Callithrix jacchus: one gene and its partners. The protein of the gene in region 3 interacts with the protein of the main gene of each other region in a pairwise test. Links are inferred from orthologs where the notes say so. Each region holds a gene or a part of one and is shown on either strand. Other genes may lie near its edges.

What was found.
Region 1: the proteins of RNF185 (region 3) and YIPF2 interact in binary tests that used the Homo sapiens proteins (3 or more experiments, as listed by UniProt). The two-hybrid records come from large-scale screens. The link is inferred for Callithrix jacchus from reciprocal best matches to the Homo sapiens genes RNF185 and YIPF2.
Region 2: the proteins of RNF185 (region 3) and UBE2K interact in binary tests that used the Homo sapiens proteins (3 or more experiments, as listed by UniProt). The link is inferred for Callithrix jacchus from reciprocal best matches to the Homo sapiens genes RNF185 and UBE2K.

The regions. Positions count from the first base shown.
Region 1 is NC_133523.1:10,091,057-10,101,037, reverse strand, and holds YIPF2 (protein YIPF2), read left to right. Parts: upstream 1-4,118; 5' UTR 4,119-4,377; coding exon 4,378-4,408; intron 4,409-4,828; coding exon 4,829-4,989; intron 4,990-5,078; coding exon 5,079-5,159; intron 5,160-5,969; coding exon 5,970-6,057; intron 6,058-7,535; coding exon 7,536-7,652; intron 7,653-7,725; coding exon 7,726-7,892; intron 7,893-7,973; coding exon 7,974-8,156; intron 8,157-8,241; coding exon 8,242-8,358; 3' UTR 8,359-8,377; intron 8,378-8,458; 3' UTR 8,459-9,401; downstream 9,402-9,981. Other genes in the region: TIMM29 (mitochondrial import inner membrane translocase subunit Tim29), read right to left, coding at 3,110-3,798, 3,875-3,968; histone-arginine methyltransferase CARM1, read right to left, coding at 9,865-9,981.
Region 2 is NC_133504.1:154,116,354-154,126,492, forward strand, and holds the start of UBE2K (ubiquitin-conjugating enzyme E2 K), read right to left. Parts: upstream 5,131-10,139; 5' UTR 4,942-5,130; coding exon 4,879-4,941; intron 1-4,878. UniProt on the Homo sapiens protein: Accepts ubiquitin from the E1 complex and catalyzes its covalent attachment to other proteins. In vitro, in the presence or in the absence of BRCA1-BARD1 E3 ubiquitin-protein ligase complex, catalyzes the synthesis of 'Lys-48'-linked polyubiquitin chains.
Region 3 is NC_133502.1:201,701,552-201,710,918, forward strand, and holds part of RNF185 (E3 ubiquitin-protein ligase RNF185), read left to right. Parts: intron 1-614; coding exon 615-633; intron 634-3,324; coding exon 3,325-3,437; intron 3,438-4,798; coding exon 4,799-4,853; intron 4,854-9,258; coding exon 9,259-9,367. UniProt on the Homo sapiens protein: E3 ubiquitin-protein ligase that regulates selective mitochondrial autophagy by mediating 'Lys-63'-linked polyubiquitination of BNIP1.

The DNA of each region.
Region 1 (9,981 bases), on a different chromosome or scaffold from region 3:
GGCCCGTCTGGTCTCGGACTCCTGACGTCAGGTGATCCGCCTGCCCAGGCCTCCCAAAGTGCTGGAATTACAGGCATGAGCCAGTGTGCCCAGCCCCTGCACTGTATTTCAATGGAAGGAAGTCTAACTTAATTTTCCCACAAATGGTTTCCAGATCAACTCTCACTCGGGGCAAACACCAGATCAGGCCTGTCTGCAAGGAACCACAAATTAGTGCAGGTGGGAAAGAGGTTTAACACTCACCTGGTAGAGAAAGGGGGTTCACGCGCCCTCTCGTGTTCACCACAAGCCAAAGACGCCCTGCTGTGCTCCGCAAGGGGACCAGTAATAATTATGTACCAGGTCAGCTTTGAAGTAACTAAGATGTCGATAAGTAAGTGGGTGAATAAACCAACTGGGGTCCATGCAGACAATGAAATATGCTCTGCGAAATAATATATTCCACTGGAAAAGCAAAGAACTAGCTGCTCAGGAGGCTGAGGTTGGAGGATCACTTGAGCCCAGGGGTTCAAGACCAGCCTGAGACCCCATCTCCATGGAAAAAAAATTTAGCTGAAAGTGGTGGCACCTGCCTGTAGTCCAAGCTACTCAGAAGGCTAAGGCAGGAGGATCACTACCATCCAGGAGTTTGAGGTGGCAGTGAACTATTATCTCACCACTGTACTCCAGCCTGGGCAACAGAGCAAAACCCTATCTTAAAAAAAAAAATTGAGTTGGGCATGATGGCTCACATCTGTAATCCCAGTGCTTTGGGAAGCAGAGGTGGGCAGATCACTTAAGGTCAGGAGTTCGAGACCAGCCTAGCCAACATGACAAAACCTTGTCTCTATTTTTTGTTTTTGTTTTTGAGATGGAGTTTCGCTCTTGTTGCCCAGGCTGGAGTGCAATGGCGCGATCTTGGCTCACCGCAACCTCCTGGGTTCAGGCAATTCTCCTGCCTCGGCCTCCTGAGTAGCTGAGATTATAGGCACGCGCCACCATGCCCAGCTAATTTTTTGTATTTTTAGTAGAGACGGGGTTTCACCATGTTGACCAGGATGGTCTCGATCTCTTGACCTCGTGATCCACCCGTCTTGGCCTCCCAAAGTGCTGGGATTACAGGGGTGAGCCACCGCGCCCGGCCGAAAGGATCTCTTGACGTCAGGAGTTTGAGACCAGCCTGGCCAACATGGAGAAACCCCATCTCCACTAAAAATACAAAATAAGCCGGGGATCACTGCACATGCCTGTAATCCCAGCTACCCAGGAGACTGAGGAAGAAGAATCGTTTGAACCTAGGAGGAAGATATAGCAGTGAGCTGAGATCGTGCCACTGCACTCCACACTGGGTGTCAGAATAAGACTCTGTCTCAACAACAATAACAACAAAAATGCAATTTTCCATAACCGAGCTAAGCATCAGCTGTGTACACTAACATTTCTTTTCATAGAATTGTGTTTCAAGGTTACTGAAGTACAACATAATCAGAATCTATGATTCCATTTAGGTTTCCAGGTCAGAAAATGCTTTATCCTTCCAAGGCACCTCCAGTCACTTACAATACTCATCTGTAAAACCAGGTTGTTTTTGCAGACAATTTCCCTGTAACATCCCAACAGTCACGACACTGTCAATTTCCTGGTTTATATTACTTATGTCAGATGTTACCACTGGGGGCAAGTTGGGCAAAGGATATACAATATGCCTTTACTATTTTTCCAATTTTGAGACTATACTTAAAAATTAAAAACTTCAAACAAAAAAGCAAAACAAAAATGTTACTTACTTTACTTTTTGAGGCAGGGTCTCACTCTGTTGCCCAGGCTGGAGTGCAGTGGCACAATCACGGCTCACTGCAGCGCTGACCTCCCAGGCTTAGGTGATCCTCCCACCTCAGCCTTCCGAATAGATGGGGCTACAGACATGGGCCACCACGCCTAGCTAATTTTTCTATGTATATATTTTTTCAATACTCATTCAATGCCTTTGGTACATATACGTATTTTTGTAGACACAGGGTTTCACCATGTTGCCCAGCCTGCTGTTGAACTCCTAGGTTCAAGTCATCTGCCTGCTTCACCCTTAGAAGTATTTTAGTTTCTGGCCGGGCGCAGTGGCTCACGCCTGTAATCCCAGCACTTTGGGAGGCCGAGGCGGGTGGATCACGAGGTCAAGAGATCGAGACCATCCTGGTCAAGGTGAAACCCCGTCTCTACTAAAAATACAAAAATTAGCTGGGCATGGTGGTGCGTGCCTGCAATCCCAGCTACTCAGGAGGCTGAGGCAGGAGAACTGCTTGAACCCAGAAGGCGGAGGTTGTGGTGAGCCGAGATGGTGCCATTGCACTCCAGTCTCGGTAACAACAGCGAAACTCCGTCTCAAAAAAAAAAAAGAAAAATACAATAGTTAGCTGGGAGTGTTGGCACACATCTGTAATTCCAGCTACTGGGGGGGGGGAGGTGAGGCAGGAGAATCGCTTGAACCCGGGAGACGGAGGTTGCAGAGAGCCAAGATTGTGCCTCTGCCCTCCAGCCTGGGAGACAGAGAGAGACCCTGTCTCAATAAATAAATAAATACGAGACAATAAATAATATAATAAAAACATTTCAACTCAACTTTTATTAAGTTAATTAATATTATTATTTTTTTGTAGCGTCGGAGTCTTGTTATGTTACTCGGGCTGCTCTCAAACACCTCTCAAACAAGCGATCCTCTTGCATCAGTTTGCAAAATGCTGGGATTACAGACATGCACCACCACACCAGGCCACAACCCAAAAATCTAAATGATTTTAGGAGTTTGTAAGTCACATGACCAATATGGTACCTCCCCGAGGAGGGGCTCTGAGGCCCAGTGAAAAAGGCTTATATAAAAGGCTCAGGACCAGCTCTGGCAGCGATGAACATGGGTCAAGTCATTCTGCTGTCCCAACTCCTAGACTAAGGTGGCTTTGAATCCGTTTCAGCTGATAAAGAACGACGACGGAGGGCACAAAGGCTCCCCAAACTTGAGCAAACCCAGTGAGAAAACACTTTCCACATCATCTGTCTCGGTCGTTCTGGAGTTGAGACTCATCACAACTGCACCACCCAGGCAAGCAGTTTGCCAGGACTCGAGGGCCTCAGGATTTCATCTCGGGGCCTCCGACTGTATCAGCGAACGCGCCTGGCTCAGGGCGAGCCTATCTTTCTTCTCCTTCTGCAAGACCTGCTCCTCCCACAGCGCCTGGTCCACCTGATCATCCGTGAGCACCACAGGCTTGTACTTCTCATGGAAGAGCCGCTCGTTGGTCTCGGAATGCAGCTGGTGGGTCCCGACCACCCGCAAATGCGCCGGCAGGTGCATAAATTCGTCGTCGTTGATGTCACAGTCGCGCATCCGGGCACCCAGCACCCACCAGCGGCCCACGAAACCCACGTCCAGGATCCGGCCGGGGAAGTCGATCCAGCGGGGCTGCAGGTAGCGACAGTGCGCCTGGTAGAGGCTGGCCTGGGCGTCGAAGGGCGCCTCGTACACCAGCGAACAGAGCCCCAGGTTCACGTGGCGCAGCCGGCCACAGCCCCGAAGCCAGAGCAGCCGCTGCACGAAGGTTTCGGACTCGCGGTTGCGCGTGGCCGGCGCCAGCAGCAGGAGGGTCCCCGACGCCTCCAGCAACGCCTCCTCGAAGGCACCCTCGCCCGGCGCCAGCGTGCAGCAGGCAGCCGCGCCGCCCAGCAGCCCCACGTACACGGCCGCGCGCCCCGGCCGGGCACGAGCCTCCGCCGCCGCGTCCCTGCAGGCCTCGGCGTAGTCCTGGAGCAGCGCGCGGGCCCAGGAGCCTGAGGGAAGAGGGGCGCGATAAGAGTGGTCCGGCGGCGGCGGACACCCACCCTACCGCCTTCCGCCGCTACTCACCCAGCCGCGCCCACACTCTGGGCTTCGCCGCTACAGCGTCGCCCACCTCTGCGCGGCGCCGGGACCAAAGTCTCCTCAGAGCTGCCGCGACCATCCTTTTCTGGTTTAGGGATCCCTGCTCGGGGAAGAAGCTCCTGACACCCGAGTTAAGAACCCGGCAGTCTCTTCTGCGCAAGCGCCAACTTCACCGGAAGTGGCTTCCCAACGTGCGAGCATAGAAAGAGGCCCGGCGCCGGATGTTGCTGTCGTGTCGGAGTCGGGTCAATCTGACTGGCAGGCAGGCCGCGCCGGCGCAGAGAGCCCCAGCCACGCCGACCCAGGTGGCTTCAGGTGAGGTGGGTGGAGCACAGCTTTGGAGACTGGGCGACGAGTTCAAGCCTCCGTGGGTGCTGTTGGCCGCCAGGTAGGGCTGGGGGCCGAGGGACCGGCTCGGGGGCACGAGGGAAGCGGACCTGATCGGCCTGTGTCCTCAGCGAGGGATGCGGAGACGCCCCTGAACAACCATGGCAGCGGCCGACGAGCTGACCTTTCACGGTGAGTGAGGCCCCGACATGGCGGGATGTCCTACTCCCGCCCCTCGCCAGTACCTCCCCGTCCATGCGGCTTCCAGCATCTCTACCCCGAATCCCGGGCGGCTGTGAACTGACTCAGGAGTGAGACCCATCCCTGACTCGAACCCCGCTCCCGCCGTGAACTCAGACCTCACAACCGAGCCTCTAGTCCCCAGACCCTGACCTCATCCCAGGGCCAATCCTAACTTGCAGTTCCACGTTAGAAGGAAGGGAACAGGGGTCCTCCGGATGCCTCCAAACTGAGGAAGTTAGGCCCCCGCCTTGGGGATGATCAGTGGCCCAGCAGAGCCTTCGCCCCCAGAGGAGCATCGACTTGGCTTGGGCCCAGTCGAATTCTTTCCACCCCACAGAAGTGCGTGTGTCCCATATCTCCCCTCCACAGAATTCGAGGAGGCCACTAATCTTCTGACTGAGACCCCAGATGCAGCCACCACCAGTAGAAGCGATCAGCCAACCTCACAGGGGCACGTGGCTGTGGCTGTGGGCTCAGGTGACAGCTATGGAGCCGAGGATGAGGTGGAGGAGGAGAGTGACAAGGCTGCGGTGAGTCCTTGTCCTGCTTCCTGCTTCTGTGCAGCCCACTGCTGACCCAGGCTGTTGGGGCAGGCACTGAATGTCCGCGCTGTGTGTAGCTCCTGCAGAAGCAGCAGCAGCAGCCCGGATTCTGGACCTTCAACTACTATCAGAGTTTCTTTGACGTGGACACCTCACAGGTAGGGTCCGGGGAGGCAGGTGGGATGGGGCTCAGGGTGCTGGTGAAGGAACCAGGGTGCCCTGGAAGGGTTATGGTGGGACTGGTTATGGATCGGGACTGTGGGAACACAGGGTACACACACAATCTGGTGGGTTAGAGGAAGGCCTCCTGGAGAAGGTGAGGAATTGGCTGAGACCTAAAGGAGAAGGAAGGCAGAGTGGAGGGGAGCAGAAGTATGTTCCAGGCACAGGGAACAGCATATGCAGAAGACCAAAGGTGGGCCAGGCGCAGTGGCTCACGCCTGTAATCCCACTAGGACTTTGGGAGGCTGAGGTGGGATCACCTGAGCTCAGGAGTTTAAGACCAGCCTGGCCTACATGGTGAAACCCCATCTCTACTAAAAAGACAAAAATTAGCCAGGTGAGGTGACAGGCACCTGTAATCCTAGCACTTTGGGATGCTGAGGTGGGCGGATCACTTGAGGTCAGGAGCTTGTGACCAGCTTGGTCAACATGGCAAACCCCATCTCTACTAAAAATACAAAAATTAGCCAGGCATGGTGGTGCACTCCTATAGTCCCAGCTGCTTGGGAGGCTGAGGCATGAGAATTGCTTGAACCGGGAGGCAGAGGTGGTAGTGAGCCAAGATTGTGCCACTACGCTCCAGCCTGGAAAAGTGTGAGATTCCATCTCAAAAAGTAAAAGAGGGAAGGGCTAAGCTCTTTCAGGTGGGGCATGGAGAGAAGAGGGTGGAGGTCAGCAGGGAAGGAGCCTCTCAGGACGAGAATCTCCTGGCAGGCCTCCATCCTTGACCTCGGCCTTGCCCCCAGGTCCTGGACCGGATCAAAGGTTCGCTGTTGCCCCGGCCTGGCCACAACTTTGTGCGGCACTATCTGCGGAATCGGCCGGATCTATATGGTGAGTGAGGTCATGCATTCGGTTCCTTTCATTGATCACTCCACAAGTGTGGCCCGAGTTGCAGACCCCAGTGTGCAGCTGAGGACAAATGAGTCACTTAGAGAGTGTGACTTACCTTCTGTTCAGGGAGACGGGGAAATGAAGGACTGCAGAGGGTGGTGGGTAGAGCAGCAGAGTGGAGAGAAGGAATGGCCTTGCTGTTTTGCAGGGTGCGTCAGGGCAGGCCTGCCTGAGGAGGGTGAGGGAATGAGCCTTGCTGGCAATGGGATGGGTGGGAGACCTAGGAAAAGATGGTTCTAGAAAGGGCATGAGCTCCATGGCGGGAACTTGCATGAACTGCAGGACGGCATTGCCACTGGAGCAAGTGAGCTGTAGGAAAGGGATGGATCACACAGGCCTCCCGTGCTGTGGCAAGAAGGGATTTTTTTTTTTTTTTTGAGATAGAGTCTTGTTCTGTCACCCAGGCTGGAGTGCAGTGATGTGTGATCTCGGCTCACTGCAATCTCTGCCCATCGGGTTCAAGCAGTTCTCCTGCCTCAGCCTCCTGAGTAGCTGGGATTACAGGCACACGCCACCGCATGAGGCCAGTTTTTGTATTTTTAGTAGAGACAGAGTTGCACCATGTTGGCCAGGCTGCTCTCAAACTCCTGACCTCAGGTGATCTGCCCACCTCAGCCTCCCTAAGTGCTGGGATTACAGGCATGAGCCAGTGCACCTGGCTGAGATGGAATCTTAGTTACGTGTTCTCTGGTCCCTCTCACCATCCTGGGGGGCGAGGGCAGAAGCCAGGAGGCCGGGGTGCAGGCGGCCACATGGTGGAGACTGTGGATGTAGAGAGTGGTGCTGGATTCTGGAACATGCTGTGGAAGTAGAAGCAACTGGCTTTGCCGCTAGACAGGTGGGGGTGTGGGGAGTGGGAGGGTAAGAGCTGAGGCAGGCTCTAGGGATGTCTGCCTGGACTACGGAATGGATGGAGTTGCTACTTATCCAGGGACCAGCTGGGCAGTGAGGGCAGAGGGAAAGGGTAGTGGGTGAAGCCAGAGATGCCCACCTAGGAGCTTGAACTGGAGGCTGCAGTTCTCAGGGCACAGCCTCAGGCTCTAGGGGAGGCACAAGGCCCTAGGCTTGGAGGAGGTCACACCAGGAGTGAACACAGACATGGAAGGGGCCAAGGACTGGGCCCAGATGCTTCCCATGGCTGAAGGGGTCAGAGAGTCAAAGAGGAGGTAACAGTGATTGAGGAACTGGCACCAACGAGGTGAGATACAGGCCGATGGTGTGCAGTCCTCAGTGTTTCCGGGAGAGGACGGGCTGAGAGCTGGCACTGGGCTTAGCCACCGGGAAGCCCCTGGTGTCCTGGTGAGTCAGGCAGGGTGCTTAGGAAGAGGCTGGGGTCTCATCATACTTGAGTCAGGATACATCTATCTGGTGGTCCTGGGAGCACAGGATCTGGGACCCTGACTGCCCCCTACCCCCAGGCCCCTTCTGGATCTGTGCCACGCTGGCCTTCGTCCTAGCTGTCACCGGCAACCTGACACTGGTGCTGGCCCAGAGGAGGGACCCCTCCATCCACTACAGCCCCCAATTCCACAAGGGTAAGCAGGTGGGCAGGCCCAATGCCTGGCAGGGCCCCGGGGGACAGGGGGTGACTGCTCGCCTTGCCCCCAGTGACCGTGGCAGGTATCAGCATCTACTGCTACGCGTGGCTGGTGCCGCTGGCCCTGTGGGGCTTCCTGCGGTGGCGCAAGGGTGTCCGGGAGCGCCTGGGGCCCTACACCTTCCTGGAGACCGTGTGTGTCTACGGCTACTCCCTCTTTGTCTTCATCCCCATGGTGGTGAGTGTGACCCGGTGTGCAGTGGGTGGTGGCTGTGTGGGGCCCCCTGGCATGGTCACCTGCTGCCTGTGTCACTCCCAGGTCCTGTGGCTCATCCCTGTGCCTTGGCTGCAGTGGCTCTTTGGGGCACTGGCTCTGGGCCTGTCGGCTGCAGGGCTGGTATTCACCCTGTGGCCTGTGGTCCGTGAGGACACCAGGCTAGTGGCTGCAGTGCTGCTGTCTACGGTTGTGCTGCTCCACGCCCTCTTGGCCATGGGCTGTAAGGTATGGGTCTGGGGTGGCCACGGGTGGGCTGAGGGGCTGGGGCAGGTCGGCTGGCCCTGCCTCTGACCCCAGGGATCTTGTGCAGTTGTACTTCTTCCAGTCGCTGCCTCCAGAGCATGTGACTCCTCCACACCAAGCCGCATCTCTGCCCACAAACATCCCACTGTCCCCTACCCTGCCTCGGTCCATGGCTCCCTCCTAGGAAGGCCCAGGTCCCACAGGTAAGGGACTGTTCCCAGCTGGGCTGAGGGGGCTGCCTTTCCACCCCCAATGAAGGCAAGAGGTCCTGGGGCCATTCTCAGGCAGTTCTCTCTTTTAGGCAGTACCTAAGTGGACCAACCCCTCTGCCCCCCAGACAGTGACTGAACGCTCCCGACACCTTGAGATGACTCTGCTACTTTCCAGACTTTTCTTACAAAGCAAACACTTTTATTTTCTATGCAAAGGTGATTCAGAGAATTTATATAAAGGTGGGCGAAGGGCAGCTGAGCAGGGAGCTTTGGGACAGGGCCAGGGCCCCAATATCCCCTGGGGCTGCCTGCTTTCCCCTCTACGGCTCCCCTGGCACAGGAGGGAGAGCCTGGACAGTGCCCGCTCTGCCTGGGCGCACACACGGCGGGCCCGAGCTCCAGCATCTGAACTTGGGGGTGTGAGAAACGGGAGCAGAAGAAGAAACTGCCTGTGCTGCAACACATTTCCTCGTTTATTTTTTCTTTCTTTCTTTTTTGGAGGGAGAGGTCCCTGCAAGGCCCCTTCCCAGGCAGGGGAGGGACGGAAATGCTGACACAGTAGTAGGGACTGGAGCGTCTACAAAGACGGAGGGTATGATACTCAGGCCTAATGGTAGCTACAAGGAAAGAGGACACCTTCCATGACACATCCTTGAGGTGTCTTTGTCTGCCCCAAGCAGCTGGCGGTGGCCTTCCCTCCAGGCCCAGGGCCTGCAGCCACCTGCTCTAACTCTGGGTGGGGGAGATCTGCAGGGGCTCAGGGACAGGACAGCAGCAAGAGGCAGGGGCCGAGGACGGAGGCCTTCCCAACAGCGGGGTGGGTTGTACATTCAAGTGTGAGGTGAACCCTTTGGTGGGGAGGGGGCCCCTGAAGCCTCAGCGGGGCCACCCCTCCCCGCGGTGCCTCTGAGTCTGGGGAGAGGGGCTGCTGGCTCGGCCCGGCCGGCCTGGCTTCTCAGAGGGTCTGTGGATTGACACTGGTTCTTTTCATAAAAAAATAAAATTAAAAAAAGCAGCATGTCACGTCCGTTGTGACCGAGGCCTGGTCATCGAAGGGAGGCCCTGGCTGGCCAGGCCACTTTCCCACTGGAGTCAGACAAGGGGACAGGTGCCGAGGGACCTGGCAGGCAGGGTGGGGCAGCCTGGGCTGGGTGGCAGCTGCTCCCTCCCCGCAGCCAGTTCCAGTAGATGACAAGCCCAGGTCGGGATGGAGCGGGCAGGAAGGGGGACGAGGGCTCCCACAACATGATCTTGTGTAAAATATGGCAGCGACACGCGCTCAGGGCCAAGAGGTGGAGGTGGGGGTGAGGGTGGGGATGGCGGCAACATCGTGTAAAAAAAATGTCCCAGTTCCCATAGCAAAGAGGGCTGTGACTGGGTGTTCGGGCTTCTCCAGTACAAGGGGGAAAGCCGCCCGGCGGGGGTCGAGCGGGAACATCATTTGGTTTCCTGGTGCTGTCAATCCTCGGGGCGGGCCCCTAGCTCCCGTAGTGCATGGTGTTGGTCGGGATGGACATGGGCGACGCCATGGAGATGGCAGGGCCGCCCATGGTGAACTGGCTGTTGACTGCATAGTGGGCACTCGAGCCGCTACC
Region 2 (10,139 bases), on a different chromosome or scaffold from region 3:
GCATATACTAGTAGAGGTCAGGGATGTTGTTAAACATCTCACAATGCAGGCTGGGCGCGGTGGCTCAAGCCTGTAATCCCAGCACTTTGGGAGGCCGAGGCAGGTGGATCACGAGGTCAAGAGATCGAGACCATCCTGGTCAACATGGTGAAACCCCATCTCTTCTAAAAATACAAAAAATTAGCTGGGCATGGTGGTGTGTGCCTGTAATCCCAGCTACTCAGGAGGCTGAGGCAGGAGAATTGCCTGAACCCAGGAGGCAGAGGTTGCGGTGAGCCGAGATCATGCCATTGCACTCCAGCCTGGGTAACAAGAGCGAAACTCCGTCTCAAAAAAAAAAAACCTCACAATGCACAGGAGAGTCACTCAACAAAGAACTATCTGCCCAAAATGTCAATACTGCCAAGTTTAAGAAACCCATGGTCTACAGAAATCAAAGACTTACTTTTAGAGATTTGCAACTACTTCTGGTATAGAATAATCTAGATCAAGCGACATCAAATATATTACAATTTTAAAGGAAGGCCAGGCGCGGTGGCTCACGCCTGTAATCCCAGCACTTTGGGATGCCAAGGTGAGCAGATCATGAGGTCAAGAAATCGAGACCATCCTGGCCAACATGGTAAAACCTCGTCTCTACTAAAAATACAAAAATTAGCTGGGCATAGTGGCGTGTGCCTGTAGTCCCAGCTACTCAGGAGGCTGAAGCAGGAGAACTGCTTGAACCCAGGAGGCGGAAGTTATAGTGAGCCAAGATCATGCCACTGCACTTCAGCCTAGAACCTGGTGACAGAGCAACCCTGTCTCAAAAAAACAATTTTTTTAAAGGAAAATATTATATAAATCTATTTAAATGATGACAGAAAACTTAATGTTCTACAGTAATTTTCATGAAACCAATTTGTTTATGCAACAGATTTAAACATGCTCTATGAGAATACTAGAAAATAATACCAAAGTGCAATTACAACCTGAAAAACCAACAAGTGCCCTACAGCATAAGACCAAGCAAGAGTAAATGCACTGATTTAAGGGTGTTTTATTTCATTAGTTTCAAATTTTAAAATATTTTACATGTTGAAATTCAAGTAAATCTGGCTGGATGTGGTAGCTCATGCCTATAATCCTAGCACTTTGGGAGGCTGAGGCGGGCAGATCACTTAAGGTTAGAATTTGAGACCAGCCTGCCCAACATGGTGTAACCCCATCTCTACCCAAAATGCAAAAATTAGCTGGGCATGGTGGTGGGCACCTGTAATCCCAGCTCCTGGGGAGGCTGAGGCAGAAAAATCACTGGAACCTGAGAGGCAGAGGTTGCAGTCAGCTGAGATCCCGCCATTGCACTCCAGCCTGAGCGAGAGAGTGAGATTCCTTCTCAAAAAAAAGAAAGAAAAAAAAAAAAGAAAGAAAGAAATTCAATTAAATCTTGGGTTTTTTTCTCATATATATATATTTTAAAGATGAGGTTTCACCATGTTGGTCAGGCTGATCTTAAACTCCCAACCTCAGTTGATCTGCCCACCTTGGCCTCCAAAGTGCTTAGATTACAGGCATGAGCCACTGCGCCCGGCCTCAGAAATTCAACTAAATCTTAAATTATAGGGAACACTATTTCAATGAGATTGAACTGTGTTTAAATCCTTTAACCAGTAATACAAACCAAGCTCGATTTTTTTTAAATAAATAAAAGCATGCCTATCCTTGGAAAGTCATGACAGCATGGTATAATATGAACACAAGCAGACCTAGATCCAAATCCCAAGTTCCATGTTTGCAGACAAATAATTTAGCTTGCCTGAATCTCTATATTCTCACCTAGGAAATAGGAAATCTAAAGAACTGTTCTTGAGAATTAGCAATAATGTATAAACAAATGATACTAAGAACAACCAGCCATTCTACAAATGGCAGCTAGTTACTAATAGCAGCATTAATAGTAAAAAATACAACCTATGAATAATTATCCTTTTTTTTAGATGTGCCTCTTCAGAGGGTTTTATATCCTCATAATCAACAATTTACTTATGTAATCCAACTCATAAAATAATTATAAAATGTACTTTATATCAATATTCCATGCCTAACAACTTTGGAATATTATTTAAAACGACTTAAAATTCATACTCATATTTAAAAATAAACATCTAAAACAAAGAAAATAAATATTAATAAATTAAAAAGAAACATCTGACAAATTTCCAAACACTGTCTTAAGGGAAAGAGGCCAAATGGTGCCTTTTTTGAGTAAATCACGTTCATATGACACATAATTCAAAAAATATCTACTCCCCATGCCCCAGAGACCCAATTCCCCTACACAGAAAGCAGTCAATTTTTCCAATTTCTCATGAAACCTTTTACCTGCACAGGCAAATACACATATTCCCCTCCATTTGAAACAAATGGTGGCCTCTCCCACACTATTCTGTATCTTGCTTTTCACATTTATCTTGTTGGCTGTATTTTAATTAACACACTCTAAGAATGGCCACCACAATCCAACAAGCGTCAGCTATCTCTACAAAGACACTTAAAAGGCCACCCCAAAAAGTCCTTAAATCAACCAGTGTTCTTACTAAACACAAGCACACAAGCATATGAAATAAACTTTGGTAAAGTGCAGATTTACCAAAAAAGTGACATGATGAAATAGTTATTTGATCAGCCATTCAAAAGACTGGATTTACACCCTTAAAAAGGAAACACATGGACTGTACTACAAGTCCTTCAATGAGTTGAAAATAACAATCTACTTATAGATCTGGGACACTAAAATGTCAAAAAATAATGGTGAAAATAAGCTATTTATTGGTTATATTTATTCCAAGATTAAGTGATGTGAACTTTTCCTAAATGTTCTTTGCAACTTATTTTCCTAGAAGAAGTTTCTTTCCATATTTCTATAGGTACTGTTCTCAAAAAAAAAAAAAGTTTGTCGTCCCTATTTTCTTCTTCTGAAACGCTTATGATACTTATTTGAAGTAAACCATCATCCCTTATGTATAATGAGCAGTGTTATTTTAACAATATGCATTACTAGAGAGCAATACAAGTATTTCTGGTAATCTTCAAGTTAAGTACTAAGAATACCACGGTGAAGTCAGCTCATAAAAAGCAGAGACCATATAAATTACTAGAGTAGTAACTTACCACTTTTCAGTAATAGAAAATAAAGCATTAAAAGTCTATTAAGTTTCAAGCTTCTACAACCTTATTAAACAAGAAATGTTTTAGGTTGTTGGCAACAATATTAGCTGCTATCTTCCATTAGAAGTATATATGTCAAATATCCTGGAATACATTTTCATATTAAGTTAAAATTGCTGTTTCACTGTTATCAATACAAACACTTATGACTCTGTTTCTGCACTGTACCACAAAATACAAAGTCATCCTTCCATTCAGAGTTTTGGCATATGAACAGAGGTCAGAGTTCATACACATGCTCTGTAAAACTGATCATGACTTACATACTACTACTTTCAAGAAGCCTATTTGTCATTTTTGAATTTTAAACAATTTTTTCTTCATGTCTACTCATCACATACTTAGAATGCTGAATTTCACTAATCACTATCGACATTATCGAAGTACTAACCGTAAAAGAAAAAACACAAAAGCAACGATATATTCAATAATGGTACGTGAATCTTGAAAATAACCATTTTCTGTATTACTTTTTGTTTAATCCTTGTGGGGAAGGCAATCTGGTATTCTTGTTGATTTTTGGTATGAAAAACTGTACTAATACTTATGTAATTCTGAGTCAAATTACTAGAGCATTGTGAATATCTTACTTAAACGTACTAATATATCTAAATTCTGCAGGATTTAAGAGCAACGGGAGGCAATTTTTTTGAAAATCTGCTATATCGTGATAAATCTACTCAATAAAGAGATAAAACAGTGTATTAATCTGGTAAAAGCACACGTTTTTAATAGGTCTACTTTTCAAAAGTAAGAATCAAGTTAACTATGAGGGACATCATAATGAAGTTTCGTGGCACAACACTAGTCACAGAGGTACTGTATTAGGACAGTCTCTCTGATCTGTAACTTGTAAACAATATTTTGAAATAAGCTACTCTTACATTCCATTTTTTTTCTAACTAAAAATATTTAAATGTCTTTAATACACCAAACACCTTGCCTTTGCCCACTCAAAGACTGAGATGTCGATAAAGACGAGGCCTAGGAATTTGGGGGTAAAGTGGAAAAGACATAACGATCTCATTTGGAATTAACTTGCTAACAGAGGTGAAAATTCCCTTATCCCTGCCACCGAATAAGACAGTATTCTATTATTCTCCCCTTGACTCCTAACACCCAACTAAGAAGGACTAACTCTGAATGTCCTTCCTTTTTAATCGATACCTAAGGACTCACCGCTCCTTCCCTAAGAAAAGGACGGTGACGGCCTGACAGGCAATAACCCAGAATATCCTCAAAAGTGTGGGCCTTAGAGCAGCACCGGCTCCTCCGGATACAGTTACCACCTTTCCCCTTCCCCCAACCCACTTCCCGGGTTTTCTCGGGCTCGGCCTGCTCCCTCCCCACCCCAGAGCCACACTTCCAGCTGTGGCCACCGCCTCGGGTTCTCTCGTGAGCTTCCATCCCGCCGAGGAGTTCCCCCCTGTCCATCAGTTCCCCAAACTGTGTTCCACCCCAGACCCCCCGCCCGCCGAGACCGTCCATCCTAGCGCTGTGGGAGGGGAGGGGAAGGCGGCGGAAGGAGGAGGGGAGCACTACTGCTTCCCCACAGGCAGAAGGGCGGCCGCAAGGAGGGCCACCCAGGGACTACCGGGGATATCGGGGTCACGCTGGGAGGACCCTCCCGCCCGGGCAGAGGTGGGGGATGTCCGGGAGTTCATTTCTGACCTCCTCGCTCTTCAGCACCTCCTTGAACTCCCGCTTGATTCGCTGCACCGCGATGTTGGCCATGTCTCCGCCCGCAGCTGATTCGTACCCGCCTCCTCCGCCACCGCTACGACCACCGCCACCGCCGCCACCTCTTCCTCCACCGCCTCCTCCCTCAGCGATTCAGACCCGAGCACACGAACACTGCCACTACCACCCCGGCCACCGCGCTCTCCTCAGTGTGGAATCACCTCCGCGCCCGGCCACCAAAATGGCGCCGGGTCCGCGCATGCGCATGATGCTGACCCGGCCGGGCGGCGCAGCCGCTCCCGTTGTAGCCCCCATTCGCCCGAGCCACGAGCGCGCGTCTCGACTGGGGCTGCGGCCGCTTGACTCCGCCCTGCCGGCGTCTGGAGCCGGGAGGGTGCGCCTTCCAAACTGGCCGGGACCGCCGGTCCTCCCCGGCGCCTCCACTTCTGTTTAAACCCGGGTGCTGTGGTCCGGGCTGCCAACCCCTGGACTCTGACCGAAGGTTCGGGTGCAACCGAACGGTTCCCGAGGCCGCAATCGGCTGGAGCGCCTTCCTGACTCAGCTAGACCCGGAACCCGGTGGCTGAACGCCGGGTGCGGGAAAACGTCTAGTGCAGGAAAACGCTCTCCCGGAACTCGATCCGGCCCATTTTCAGTTGGTGTAGCCCCAGAAAATCCGCTGCAGTCGTTTTTGTTCTGCAACATTTATAGTACCAAGATTATTCCCACCATCTCAGGTAGCACAGATTATTGAATTAAGGCTGGTTATTGTTGAATCAGATCCGGTTTGAGACAGGTATTACGTGGAGAGGCCTGATGATGGATCTAGAAGCCAGATGTTGATCTTTGACCTATTTAGATAATACAGAGCTTGATACACACACACACACACACACACACTCGCGCGCGCGAGCACATACTCCCACTCCTATACACACTCACTCCTGTGCCCATCCCTAGAGTGTAGGATGGCCCCAAGACACACTCTCTCTCTCACTCATTCTTGTGCCCATGTCTGAACTAAAGCATGTGAAAATTCATATAAAAGTGAAAATTGGAGAAATAGAAACAATTATAGTGCTTTTCAGGGCACTGGGGGTGGGGGAGGGGAGCTTTACTTCTGTAAACCTAGGCCTACAAAGGTGCCTGGTGCTAGTAGGCACTCAATAAATATTGAATGAATAAATGAGTACACGTAAGAGTAAAATGTTTTGGCTGCCACGGCGGATCGCTTGAGGTCAGGAGTTCGAGACCAAGACTGGCCAACATGGTAAAACCCCGTCTCTACTAAAAATACAAAAATCAGCCAGACATGGTGGCGGGCGCCTGCAATCCCAGCTACTCTGGAGGCTGAGGCAGGAGAATCGCTTGAACCCCGGGGACAGAGGTTGCAGTGAGCGATATCGGGCCACTGCACTCCAGCCTGGGCGACAGATCTGTCTCAAACAAAACAGAACAAAAAGTGCAAAATACTTTAAGTGGAAAGTCAGTTTGAAAGTGGTTTCTGGTCGGGCACGGTGGCTCAGTGCTGTAATCCCAGCACTTTGGGCGGCCGATGGTGGCAGATCGCTTGAGCCCAGGAGTTGGACACCAGCCTGGGCCCCATGGTGAAGTTCCATCTCTAAAGATAATAATAATTTTTTTTTTTTAGAGTGGTTTCTAAGGCTCATAGTAATAATGATATGGTACTGAGAAACACTTTGAATAGAACATTTTAGAATGAGTAATAAAGATGTTATTTTAGAAGTTTATACTTCATGTACTGCCTTCACCTAGCCAACCAATAAAATATCTTATTTTAAAAATATCACAAACACATGGTCTTAGCAAAAGTAATTATAATTGTGGCACCAAATACGGAAATAGCCAATGGAGGTGAATCAGTGGCGGCATAAGGCAAAAGAGAATTTCTTAAACTCCTGCCCCAGGTACCAAGAGGAGAATTTTAAATTCCAGTTTACTCCCATGCCAGCTCTCTTGCCAGCTTTGATTTCCTCATCTGCGAAATGAGAAAACTGGATTGGATTATCTCTTCCAAGTTTTAAGAGTTCAGAACTCTATAAAATATCTCAAAACATTCCCCCTAAGTGGACTGACATAAATTATATAAACCCTTCTAACAGAGCCCCCTAGTGGTCCTAAGAGGACTCAACCATATACATAGGTCATGGTACAAGTAATTATTGGCTTAATGTAAATCACCCAATGCTATATGTATTTGTGCCAGTAGACTTAAAAAAAAAACTATTTTGAAGAGTGCAAAAACTTTTTGAGCACTTTACATTATCACTATTCAATCCTAATCTTGGAATGTAAAGAAACTTGGAATACTCAAAGGGGGACCAGGTAGAAGTTTCCAGGCCAGGGCTGTGGCTCACGCCTGTAATCCCAGCACTTTGGGAGGCCAAGGTAGGTGGATGATGAAGTCAGGAGTTTGAGACCAGCCTAGCCAGCATGGTGAAATCCCGTGTCTACTAAAAATCCAAATAATTAACTGGACATGATGGTGCATGCCTGGAATCCCAGCTACTGGGGAGGCTGAGGGAGGAGAATCATTTGAACCCAGGAGGCAGAGGTTGCAATGAGCCGAGATCATGCCACTGCACTCCAGCCTGGGTGATAGAGTGAGACTCTGTCTCAAAAAAAAAAAAAAAAGAAAAGAAAAAGAAAGAAAAACAAATAGCTCTACAAAGAAATATTAAAAAACTAGCCAGGGGTGGTGGCACATTCCTGTAGTCCTAGCTGCTTGGGAGGCTGAAGTGAGGCTGGCTTGAGCACAGGAGTTTCAGGCTGTGTGAGCTATGATTGTATCACTGCATTCTAACCTGGTGTCAGAGTGAGACCCTGCCTCTAAAATGATAAATAAAATAAAATAATTCCAAAAGAAAAAGTTTATTTATTAAAGGGTATGACACAGCATATATTTGTGAGGAGAGAAAGGAATATGCTTGTATATATGATGCTTGTGAACCATAAAATATCACTGGAAAAATGTAGAAGAAACTGATAACAGTGGTTACCTCTCAGTATGGAATTTAACAACCAGGCACGGTCGTTCATGCCTGTAATCCCAACACTTTGAGTGGTCAAGGCGGGGCGGATCACCTGAAGTCAGGAGTTCAAGACCAGCCTGACCAATATGGAGAAACCACATCTCTACTAAAAATACAAAATCAGCGCCAGGCGTGGTGGCTCACACCTGTAATCCCAGCACTTAGGGAGGCCAAAGCAGGCATATCATCTGAAGTCAGGAGTTCAAGACCAACCTGGCCAGCATGGTGAAACCCTGTCTCTATTAAAAATACAAAAATTAGCCAGTCGTGGTGGCAGGCACCTGTAATCCCAGCTACTCAGGAGGCTGAGGCAAGAGAATTGCTTGAACCTGGGAGGCGGAGGTTGCAGTGAGCCAAGATCGCACCATTGCACTCCAGCGTAGGTGACAAGAGCCAGACTTTGTCTCAAAAAAACAAAAAAATTAGCTGGGAGTGGTGGTGCATGCCTGTAATCCTAGCTCCTCAGGAGTCTGCGGCAGGAGAATCGCTTGGACCCAGGAAGCGGAGGTTGCGGTGAGCTGAGATCATGCCATTGCACTCCAGCCTGAGCAACAGGAGCAAAGCTTCATCAAAAAAAAAAAAGAAGAAGAAGAAAAGAAAGAAACTTAAGTAATTTGGGGGAAGCAAAGTAGGAGAATTTTCATCATATCTCCTGTTGTATATTTCACCCACCTAAAAATAAATTTTAAAAAATGTGTTTCTAGTAATGCAGAACATAAGCTCTTCACTATTATGATCTAATTCTGATTAACTTCATTAACTAAATAATTAAATAAATATTTATTGAATGCCTACTATGTGCTAGGCCCTGGAGGCATATCAATGAACAAGAGGTTAAAATATCTGCAATTGAAGAATTTACATTTTAGCAGGGATGGAGAGAATTAACCTCAAACTATAGTATACAGACATCTGAGGGATCACTGAGACAGTTACAGGCATTCAATCTACCGTGCTTAAACTGTGGTTGGTTTGCTTGCTTTTTAATTTATTTTATTTTATTTATTTATTTTATTTTTGAGACGGAGTTTCGCTCTTGTTACCCAGGCTGGAGTGCAATGGCGCAATCTCGGCTCACTGCAACCTCCGCCTCCTGGGTTCAGGCAATTCTCCTGCCTCAGCCACCAGAGTAGCCGGGATTACAGTCACACGCCACCATGCCCAGCTAATTTCTTTGTATTTTTAGTAGAGACGGGGTTTCACCATGTTGATCAGGATGGTCTCGATCTCTTGACCTCGTGATCCACCCTCCTCGGCCTCCCAAAGTGCTGGGATTATAGGCTTGAGCCACCGCACCCGGCCCTATTTTATTTTTTGAGACAGAGTCTCGTTCTGTCACTCACTGCAACCTCCGCCTCCTGGGTTCAAGCAATTCTCCTGCCTCAGCCTCTGAAGTAGCTGGGATTACAGGCTCATGTCACCACACCTGGCTAATTTTTTGTATTTTTAGTAGAGATGGGGTTTCACCGTGTTAGCCAGAATGGTCTCGATCTCCTTACCTCATGATCCACATGCCTCAGCCTCCCAAAGTGCTGGGATTACAGGCGTGAACCACCTCGCCCAGCCCCATCCCAAGTTTTTAACACAGAAAGTTATTGTAATCTTTTCTTCCCGAAGCTTTATATTGAAGAAAGCAGCTGTAATTATCAACGTTTAGGCCGGGCACGGTGGCTCAAGCCTGTAATCCCAGCACTTTGGGAGGCCGAGGCGGGTGGATCACGAGGTCAAGAAATTGAGACCACCCTGGTAAACATGGTGAAACCCTGTCTCTACTAAAAATACAAAAAATTAGCTGGGCATGGTGGCGCGTGCCTGTAATCCCAGCCACTCAGGAGGCTGAGGCAGGAGAATTGCCTGAACCCAGGAGGCGGAAGTTGTGGTGAGCCGAGATCGCGCCATTGCACTCCAGCCTGGGTAACAAGAGCAAAACTCCGTCTCAAAAAAAAAAAAAAATTATCAACGTTTATGGAAGTTTAAATCACTTTGTTAGATGCCAGGAATGCACAGAGAAATAAGATACATACTTCGCTCATGAAATTAAGAATGTATTGGGGCCGGGCACAGTGGCTCAACCCTGTAATCCCAGCATTTTGAGAGGCCAAGGTGGGAGGATCACTTGAGGCTAGGAGTTTGAGACCAGCCAGGGCAATACACTGAACCTTATCTCTACAGAAAATTTAAAAATTAGCCAGGTGTGGT
Region 3 (9,367 bases):
AGCATTCCCATACTTTTCATTACTTAAAGATGCTTTTAGAGTAGATGTGAACTTTTAAGCTGCTTCCTGCTAGGAGAATTCTCAAGGATGAAGACAGCCTGAAGATTTTGTTAAACTTCTATGAACTACCTGAGAGTCCACACATCCCACACACAGAGCCTGAGGAGACTATGAACCCACTGAAATTGAGTGTAAAATACTGTGTGGTACATGTGAATGTGCATGCCCCCATCAGTTTTTTCACATAGGGGGTTCTGAGCTGTTATTGGATTCCTTCAAATGCTATAATCCTCACAGGTTGATTTGCAGAGAAGCTGGGTCTATGTGATCTGAGCCCTGAGGATTTCACATACACCGAGATCCCAAAGGCAGAGACTGGGGTCTTATCTCCACTGCGTCATTTTTTTCTGTGATTTTAGCCCAGTGTTTTCTAATTTCCAATACCAGTAATCCCTACAGAACCTCAGTGGAGATGCAGTGCTTCATAGTTTTCTCCTGTTTTCTTGTTCTGCTACTACAACCCTACCTATCAAGTGTTTCTGCTAATGAAAGCATTTTTCTTCCTTTCCCCCTTTCTCCTTCTTGATGACTGGTTGCCCTGGGGACTCTGGCAGTTGGCCGTGTTTACATCAGGTAAGGTGCATCTCATTTTACTTTGTCTTTCATCAGCTGTGGTTGCACAAGACAGCTCTCATCTCAGGAGACTGCTGTCAGAAGCTGCAATCTGCCCTGCTTATAGACTCATTTGCTTACTTACCCCTCTTCTTTACATACCTGCCCACTGACAGGTGCTTGATGAAGTCGGGATGGTCCTACCTCTGCCATAGATGGCCTTTATGGGTCTCAGTTACTCATTTATAAATTGGGGTGGATTGATCGTATGTTAGGTCCTTTTTATTTTTGAGATTCTGCTTCTACTAAAACAGTACCTCCTATTATATCACAGTCTCCGAGCCCTTAAAGGTTTTGAAAATATTAGGAAGGGTAAAACTTTTTTGGTATCAACAAAGAGCTTTTATGAGGAGGGAAAAGTCTGTTTCCCTGCTTTAGCACCTGCTTGGTGAGACAGAGCTGGGCCTGGCATTCACAAGTGGCTGTGAATAATCACAGTCAGCTGAATGTCTCCAAGGTTGTAGAGTACCACACTTGTTGGTGGCCTGGGAATATAGGGGAAGATAGAAGTTCCAGACTGCTAAAGCCTCAGAATCTGGATGGGAGAAAGAAGGTGGGGACAGGGCTGGACATTCTGTCCCCAGCAGGACCTGGTAGAACATATTGACTGTGAGTTTTTGAAGAACACATAACACATAAGTTTTGGAGCTGTGAACAGTAAAAGTAGAAAATGAAATCATTCAATGCTGCTGTCTCCTCAGCCCTGAAGTCCTAGATTCTTGTTTATAGAATGTCGATAAAAACACATGTTTTGGCCAGACATGGTGTCTCACGCCTGTAATCCTAGCACTTAGAGAGGCCAAGGCAGGTGGGTCACTTGAGGCAGGGAGTTTGAGAACAGCCTAGCCAACATGGCAAAACCCCATCTCTACAAAAAATGCAGAAATTAGCCAGGCGTATTGGTGCTCTCTTGTAATCCCAGCTACTTAGGAGGCTGAGGCACAAGAATTGCTTGAACTTGTGAGGCAGAGGTTGCAGTGAGCCAAGATTGTGCCACTGGACTCCAACCTGGGCGACAGAGCAAGACTTTGTCTCAAAAGAAAACAAAAAAAAAAAAAAAGAAAGAAAAGAAAACACATTTTTATCACCTTAAATTTTTTTTTTTTTTTTAGATGGAGTCTTACTCTTGCCGAGGCTGGAGTGCAATGGCGAGATCTTGGCTCACTGGAATCTCTGCCTCCCAGGTTCAAGTGATTCTTCTGCCTCAGTTTACCGAGTAGCTGGGATTACAGGCACATGCCACCATGCCCGGCTAATTTTTTTTTTTTGGATTTTTAGTAGAGACGGAGTTTCACCATGTTGTCCAGGCTGGTCTTGAATTCCTGACTTCAGGTAATCCACCTACCTCAGTCTCCAGAGTGCTGAGATTATAGGCGTGAGCCACCACACCTGGCTGAAACAAAAATTTTTAAACAGTGAAAGGACCTGAGAAACTCAAAACAGGATTTTTTTATATTGAAAGAAATAGTTGAATGCAAAAAAATCAATGAAAGTACATAAAAAGCATTAAGCAAATTTAGATAATGAGCAAATCCTATCCTTTAGCACATGGTAGTCACCAGAAAATGATAAGCTTATCTCCTGATTCTGATGCCTGGGCTACACAGTTGTTGGGGAAATGCTATAAAAATGAGAAATCGGCCAGGTGCAGTGGCTCACACCTCTAATCTCAGCACTTTGGGAGGCCGAGGCAGGTGGATCATAAGGTCAGGAGTTCGAAAACAGCCTGGGCAACATGGTGAAACCCCATCTCTACTAAAAATAAAAAAATTATCCAGGCACAGTGGTGAACACCTGTAATCCCAGCTACTCAGGAGGCTGAGGCAGGAGAATTGCTTGAACCTGGGAGGTGGAGGTTGCAGTGAGCTTAGATGGTGCCACTGCACTCCTGCCTGGGTGACAGAGCAAGAATCCTTCTGGGGGGGGAAAAAAATTATAGAAAGAAAAATGTTACTGACAGGAAAATACAGTTGTTACTACTGGGAAGATAGGGATTTAAAGTTTGTTGTACTCATACCAGCAGCCTAAATTGAGGCTGAGTATGTCAGACTTGACAGCCCCAGGCTTGCGGTTTCCTTCCCTCTGTGTTGCTAGGAACCCCTAGAGAGAAATAAAGCATGAAGAAGCCTGTTTAATTTATGATTTTTTTTTTTTTAAAGACAGAATCTTGCTCTCTCTCCCAGGCTGGAGTGCAGTGGCGTAATCTCAGCTCACTGCACCCTCCACCTCCTGGCTTCAAGTGATTCTCTTGCCTCAGCCTCCTGAGTAGCTGGAACTCCAGGCATGCACTGCCATGCTCAACTAATTTTTGTATTTTTGGTAGAGATGGGGTTTCACCATGTTGGCCAGGCTGTTCTTGAACTCCTGACCTCAGGTGATCCACCCGCCTCGGCCTCCCAAAGTACTGGGATTACAAGTGTGAGCCACAGTGCCTGGCCAATTATGATGATATTTAAAGGCAGTTTTGATTTTACCACTGGTAAGTATTTATTGATTGCTAGGAGAAGGAATGGTAGTCAGGTTTCTTGAGGTGTTTGTGCTCATGCTGGTGTTTCCCAGTTTGAGGCCTCTGGCCTGTGTTGTTCTCATGGCTCTAGCTGATCACTCTGGTGGGTCTTGGGCCATTCATGCATTTTTCTTTCCTGCTTGCAGTGGTTGGAAACCAGACCTAACAGACAGGTGTGTCCAGTTTGCAAAGCTGGTATCAGCCGAGACAAGGTCATCCCCCTCTATGGAAGGGGCAGCACTGGGCAACAGGACCCCAGGTGAGGACTTAGGATGCCGCTCCTACCCACTTCTCTTGGACATGAATTCACTCCGATTCAACATCTCCTAACCCCACCCTTTACTTATTACTAGATGATCCCTTGGTTTTGAAGCAGTCTCATCCAGGTGAGAGTCAGCCAGGAGGGGAGGAAGGAGAGGGGATCCAAGTTACCACTTGCTGGGACCCAGCAGTGAACAGACATCACAATCACAAGTGTGCAGAGCATTGTGAAACAGTACTTCCGCCTCCTGGGAAGCAGGATGTGTGCAGGAGAGGCTCCAGGGAGTACGTTTGCCGCAGCAGTGATGTATACAAGCATGGGGGTAGAGGAAACAGGATCTGGGTGACTTTGTGGAGTTTGGGATTTATAGAAATGGAGTAGGATCCAGCATTCCACAAACAAAAGTACTGAGAGTCCTTCACGGTCTGGCATTCCCAAGCTCTCCAGAAGAATCTCTTACCTTCTCCCACCTAGCCTAGCATATGCTGTGTACCGGACATATTAGACTTCACTTAAAGGGATTTGCTCTTTCACATTTATCAGCCTATGTATTTGCTCTCTCTTCTGCCTTCTGCCCTCCCCAGTCCTGCTCAAGCTACCCTTGTACCCCCACCTTCTCCTCTAACTTCTACTCATCTCTCATAAGCAGCCCTATAGTCCCCTCCTTGAAGTGGTCTGTCTTCTCCACATTAGTTGCTCTCACCCAGTTCCCAGCAAACTGTCGTGTGATTGGTTCTATCCCCCTGAAACCATGAATACCTCAAGAGTTGGGTCTGTCATCAGTCTTAGTATTATAGCATCCTGCATAATGCTTATTGTATAACTAAGCCCTCAATTGAGTATTCATGGGTTGAGTGATCTGAGTGGCTGAGACTTGAAAATAATAGCATGGGGTATTTGCCCAAGAATAGTGGGAGATAGAGCTGAAGTTAATAGGCAAGGTCAAAGAAACGACGAACCTCAGCCCTCACTGCTGACAACCCACCCTCTACTCCAGTTTGGATTTGGGATTTCTGATATCTGTGACAGGCCCAGTATCATACAGACCCAGGGAAGGCATCTGGCCATGTTCCTAACCATCTGAGTCAGGATCTCTGTGAATGGAGTAGGCTGTAGTGCAATCTGATGAATATCTCATAACAAGCTGATTTTCTCCCTTGTTCTCTATACAGATGGGAAGAACAGTTGCAGGTAGAACGAAGAGTTAGTATTTGGAGAATTAATTTGGCATATAAGTTCATGTCCTGGGCAAGAAAGAGGCTATGGCCCTGACTCTGTTGGTGAAGAGCTCCTGGTCCTCATAGGGAGAAACTGAAAGCATTTTGTAATAGACTTATTTTACACCATTTCTGTTTCAGAGAGAAGACCCCTCCCCGTCCTCAAGGACAGAGGCCAGAGCCGGAGAATAGAGGGGTGAGAAACATTCTAGAAGCTTCTACAAATGAGCTGATGGCTTTAGAAGTTGCCTTCTTAGCCTTATCATTTTTTTCTTTGATTATAAAAGTAAAAGAAATCTTATAAAATACAGAAAGGAAAAGAGGGGGAGAAAAAAATCACAATCACACCAATCAGAGGTAACCACTGGAAAGAAACACTTTGGTTCTATTTTCTTTTCCATTTTTCTATATTTATATATACACACAAATTTTATAAATCTGTGCGTGTATTTTACAGATATGTGTATACTTTTTACAGTTTTTGTTTTTTACACTATGTGGCTCCTGTTTTGTAACCCTCTCAAAATTTCATTTGTACTTCAGATATTTAAGTGCCTTCTGTGTGCGAGTGGGAGTCTTTTAGACTTATCTTGAGATTTTACATTGCCAGCAATATTTTACTAAATAGCTGTTTAGCATTTAGTTTTGTGGATTTAACATAATTCAATCCTTTGTTAGACATTTAGCGGCTTTCTTTTTCCAATTTTAGAAATATTTTGATGAATTTATAGATAAATTTATGAGCATATTCACTATTATTTTATTAGGATAAGACAGGGTCTCACTCTGTAGCCCAGGCTGGAGTGCAGTGGCACTATCACGGTTCACTGTAGCCTCAATCTCCTGAACTCAAGCAGTCCACCTCAGCCTCCCATGTAGCTGGGACCACAGGTGCACACCACCATGCAAAGCTAATTTTTTTTATTTTTATTTTTTGGTAGAAACAAGGTCTCACTATGTTGCCCAGGTTGGTCTTTAACTCCTGGACTCAAGCAGTCCTCCTACCTCAGCCTCCCAAAGTGTTAGGATTACAGGCGTGAGCCACTGTGCCTGGCTTAGGATAAATTCTTAGAAGTAAAATTACTGGCTAAAAAAAATGTGCATGTTTATCCCTGGTGGTCTAGTGGCTAGGAACAAAAACATTGAAAATTTTTTGCATATTTACATCAAATGTTACTCTTAAAACAAATTCTGTGGGCCGGGCGCGGTGGCTCAAGCCTGTAATCCCAGGACTTTGGGAGGCCGAGGCGGGTGGATCACAAGGTCAAGAGATCAAGACCATCCTGGTCAACAAGGTGAAACCCCGTCTCTACTAAACATACAAAAATTAGCTGGGCGTGGTGGTGCACACCTGTAGTCCCAGTTACTCGGGAGGCTGAGGCAGGAGAATTGCTTGAACGCAGGAGGCGGAGGTTGCGGTGAGCCGAGATTGCGCCATTGCACTCCAGCCTGGGTAACAAGAGCAAAACTCCATCTCAAAAAAAAAAAAAAAAAATTCTGTTAAAATGTTAAAGAAATTTTAAAAGCAAAATATTTACCCACATTGCCAAGAGCCTGGAACAAGTATATTCTCATTTCCTCATGTTCTCTTCATCTGTATGCTCTGTATATGTATTTTTATGTAGCCATCACCATTCTGTTTGCTTTAAAATTTAATTTTGGCAGGTTTTATGATGCTCTGAAGTATCCTCTTTATTATTTAGGCGCCATTTATCCCATTGAGGTTTTTATTTATTTATTTTTTTTTCTGTGCTCTTACTGGGAACCCATTGAGCTTTGATGCATTATAATTTGGGTTTTCCTCATCGAAGAACCTTTTAGTTGTTTCCCCATTTTGCTCTTTAAGTAATGCTACAGTAACCATCTTTATACACTCTTTAGTTTGAATAATGGCATTTCATTAGGATTCCCAGGAGTAGGATTACTGAGTCAGGGATATTGATAGAAATTAAGGTTCTTGGCTGGGCACTGTGACCCACACCTATAATCCCAGCACTTTGGGAAGCCAAGGTGGGTGAATCACCTAAGGTCAGGAGTTCCAGAGCAGCCCTGACCAATATGGTGAAACCCCGTTTCTACTAAAAATAGAAAAATTAGCCGGCTGTGGTTGTGCACACCTGTAGTCCCAGCTACTCTGGAGGCTGAGACAGGAGAATCATTTGAACCCGGGAGGTAGCGGTTTCAGTCAGCTGAAATTGCACCACTGCACTCCAGCCTGGGCTACAGAGTGAGACTCAATCTCAAAAAAAAAAGAGAGAAATTAAGTTCTCTTCTGCAGATTATCCTTAATAATAATATTAGCAGTGAACACTTGTTGAATGGCTACTATATGGAAATAACTATATGTTAAGAGCTTTATATTCTTGATCTCCTTTAAGCCTCACATCAACTCATTTAACGAAAGAGGAAACTGAGACCCAGATAGGTGAAGTGACCTGTCCAGGGCCACACATACAGTGCGGAAACCCAGATCTGGCTGGTATTGGAGTCCCCGCTTTTGACCACCAGGTGACACCACTTTAATATTCCCAGGTTTTGGTTTCCTCCAGAGCATTAGCAACTAATGCAGGAATCAGAGGCCCTTGAAAGCCAGAGGTCCTGGTCTGTATGACCGAGGAGCATACCTCTAGCATTTATAAGCACCTGCAGCTGCTAGTGATTTTTTTTTTTGGCATACTCTGCCCCAGGAACATAATCCTACCAAATGTGAGGACTGGTAAGCTCATATAGATTTTGGTAAAAGGGAAGCAGAATGATTAGTCCTCAGGAGTGCACTGAATGAATCTGGGGTTCCTGATGAAACAATTGCACCTTCCTGGGTAAGGCAGCCTCAGTCCCAGGAGCCCTTAGGTTCAACCATGAACTGAGTAGTAGGCATTTTGTATTGAGGAGATGGAAATTCATTGTTTTCCTTCCCTTTAGATTTGTCCTCTCATAAAGTCAGCTGTTAGGCTTTATAGATGGTACCATCTGCCAAGAAGTTTAGAACTAAAGGCTTCTCAGTGTGTGACAGAGAGCAGCTACTTTGTGACTTGCAAAAGATTCATAAATGAAGGCCAGTGAACTCTTTATGAAAAGCATTTGGCCCAATAATCTGTCTTCTTTTTATTCTTTTTAAAATCGTTTGTTCTAAACCTCTCACTAGGGATGCAGGGGAAGAGAATAAATATTTGAAAGATGTGCACAGTAATTAAGAGTATGAAGGCCAAGCACAGGGCTTAGGCCTCTAATCCTAGCACTTTGGGAGACCAAGGTGGGAGGATCATTGAGCCCAGGAGTTTGAGACCAGCCTGGGCAACAAAGTGAGACCCTGTCTGTACAGAAAAATTTAAAAATTAACCAGGCATAGAAGGGTGCACCTGTGATCCCAGCTACTTAAGAGGCTAACATGGGAGGATTGCTTGAGCCTGGGAGGTTGAGGCTACAGTGAGCCATGATTGCACCGTTGCACTCCAGCACTCCAATAAAAAAAAAAAAAGAAAAGAAAAGCATGTGTTTTCAGATCAAATTGACCTAGTTTTAGATCTAAACTGTACTCCTTGGTAAGTTATTTCACCTCTCCAAGCCTCAGTTTGGTCATCTGTGAAATGCAGGTGAAGCTAATGTAAAAATTAAACATGATTTGTGTGTGCCAGTGCTTAACATGGTGCCTAACACAGAGCTCATGCTTTAAAAAAAAGGAGTTATTTATTCACAATATTGTTGCTACTGAATTTTTTCATGTGAAAGATGATTCAGTGTAGAACATGCGCAGGGAAAAAAAACAGAGCGTGATACACCAAACTGCTGACAGTGGTTATTTCAGAGGTAAAGTGGAGTGGCTGTGAAGTGGGAGGGTGAATAGAAGATCTCTGACTTTCTTTGTCAATTATTTCGGTAATGTGTGAGTTTCTTATAGCAAGCATATATTACTTTTATAATCAGAAAACATTAAAGTGTTTTAAACGTAAAAATTCTGTGTAACAATATTAAAAGAAATTTTAATCCATAACTTATCCATATACCTGCATACTGTCGTGTACTTGTGACCACAGTGTCCAAACAATTTTGTCTGATAACTTGGTCACAAGACTTTTTCAGTGTTACTGCATCAGTCAGAATAATGGTTTTTTGAATGCATATATCAAGATTTTGATTATGACTTCCATTGTTGGCTAATTGGGGTTTCAACATTTTTTGCTATTAAAGGTAATGTGTAGCTTGTTTGATGTTCCCTTGGGCATGGGGGTGACTGTCAATATTGCTGATATAAAGCATGTAGAAGATATTATTAGCTAATGTGGGACTCTGGAAAATATCCTCAAACCCTAGGAGTGCTGACTTATGTCAGCAGAGTGTGTCACATTGGGTCCGAGCCACTCCTTTTTGGCCCATTCATAGATCCTAGCTGGAAACTAAGGCTAAAAGCACAGAGGGCTTGCCAGAGTTCCTCTACTTCAGGGTATATATGGGACGAAAAGCTGTCCCCCAACTTGGAAACATGTGGCACAGGGTAGGGAGGAGAGGCAGGTGCCACATGCAACGTGAGGTTTGTTGAGTTTGACAGGCACAGGAGAAACCTGCCCGATTCTCCTCCCCTTAATGGCCTTTCTTCTACCCAGGGATTTCAAGGTTTTGGATTTGGAGATGGTGGCTTCCAGATGTCTTTTGGAATTGGAGCATTTCCCTTTGGGATATTTGCCACAGCATTTAATATAAATGATGGGCGGC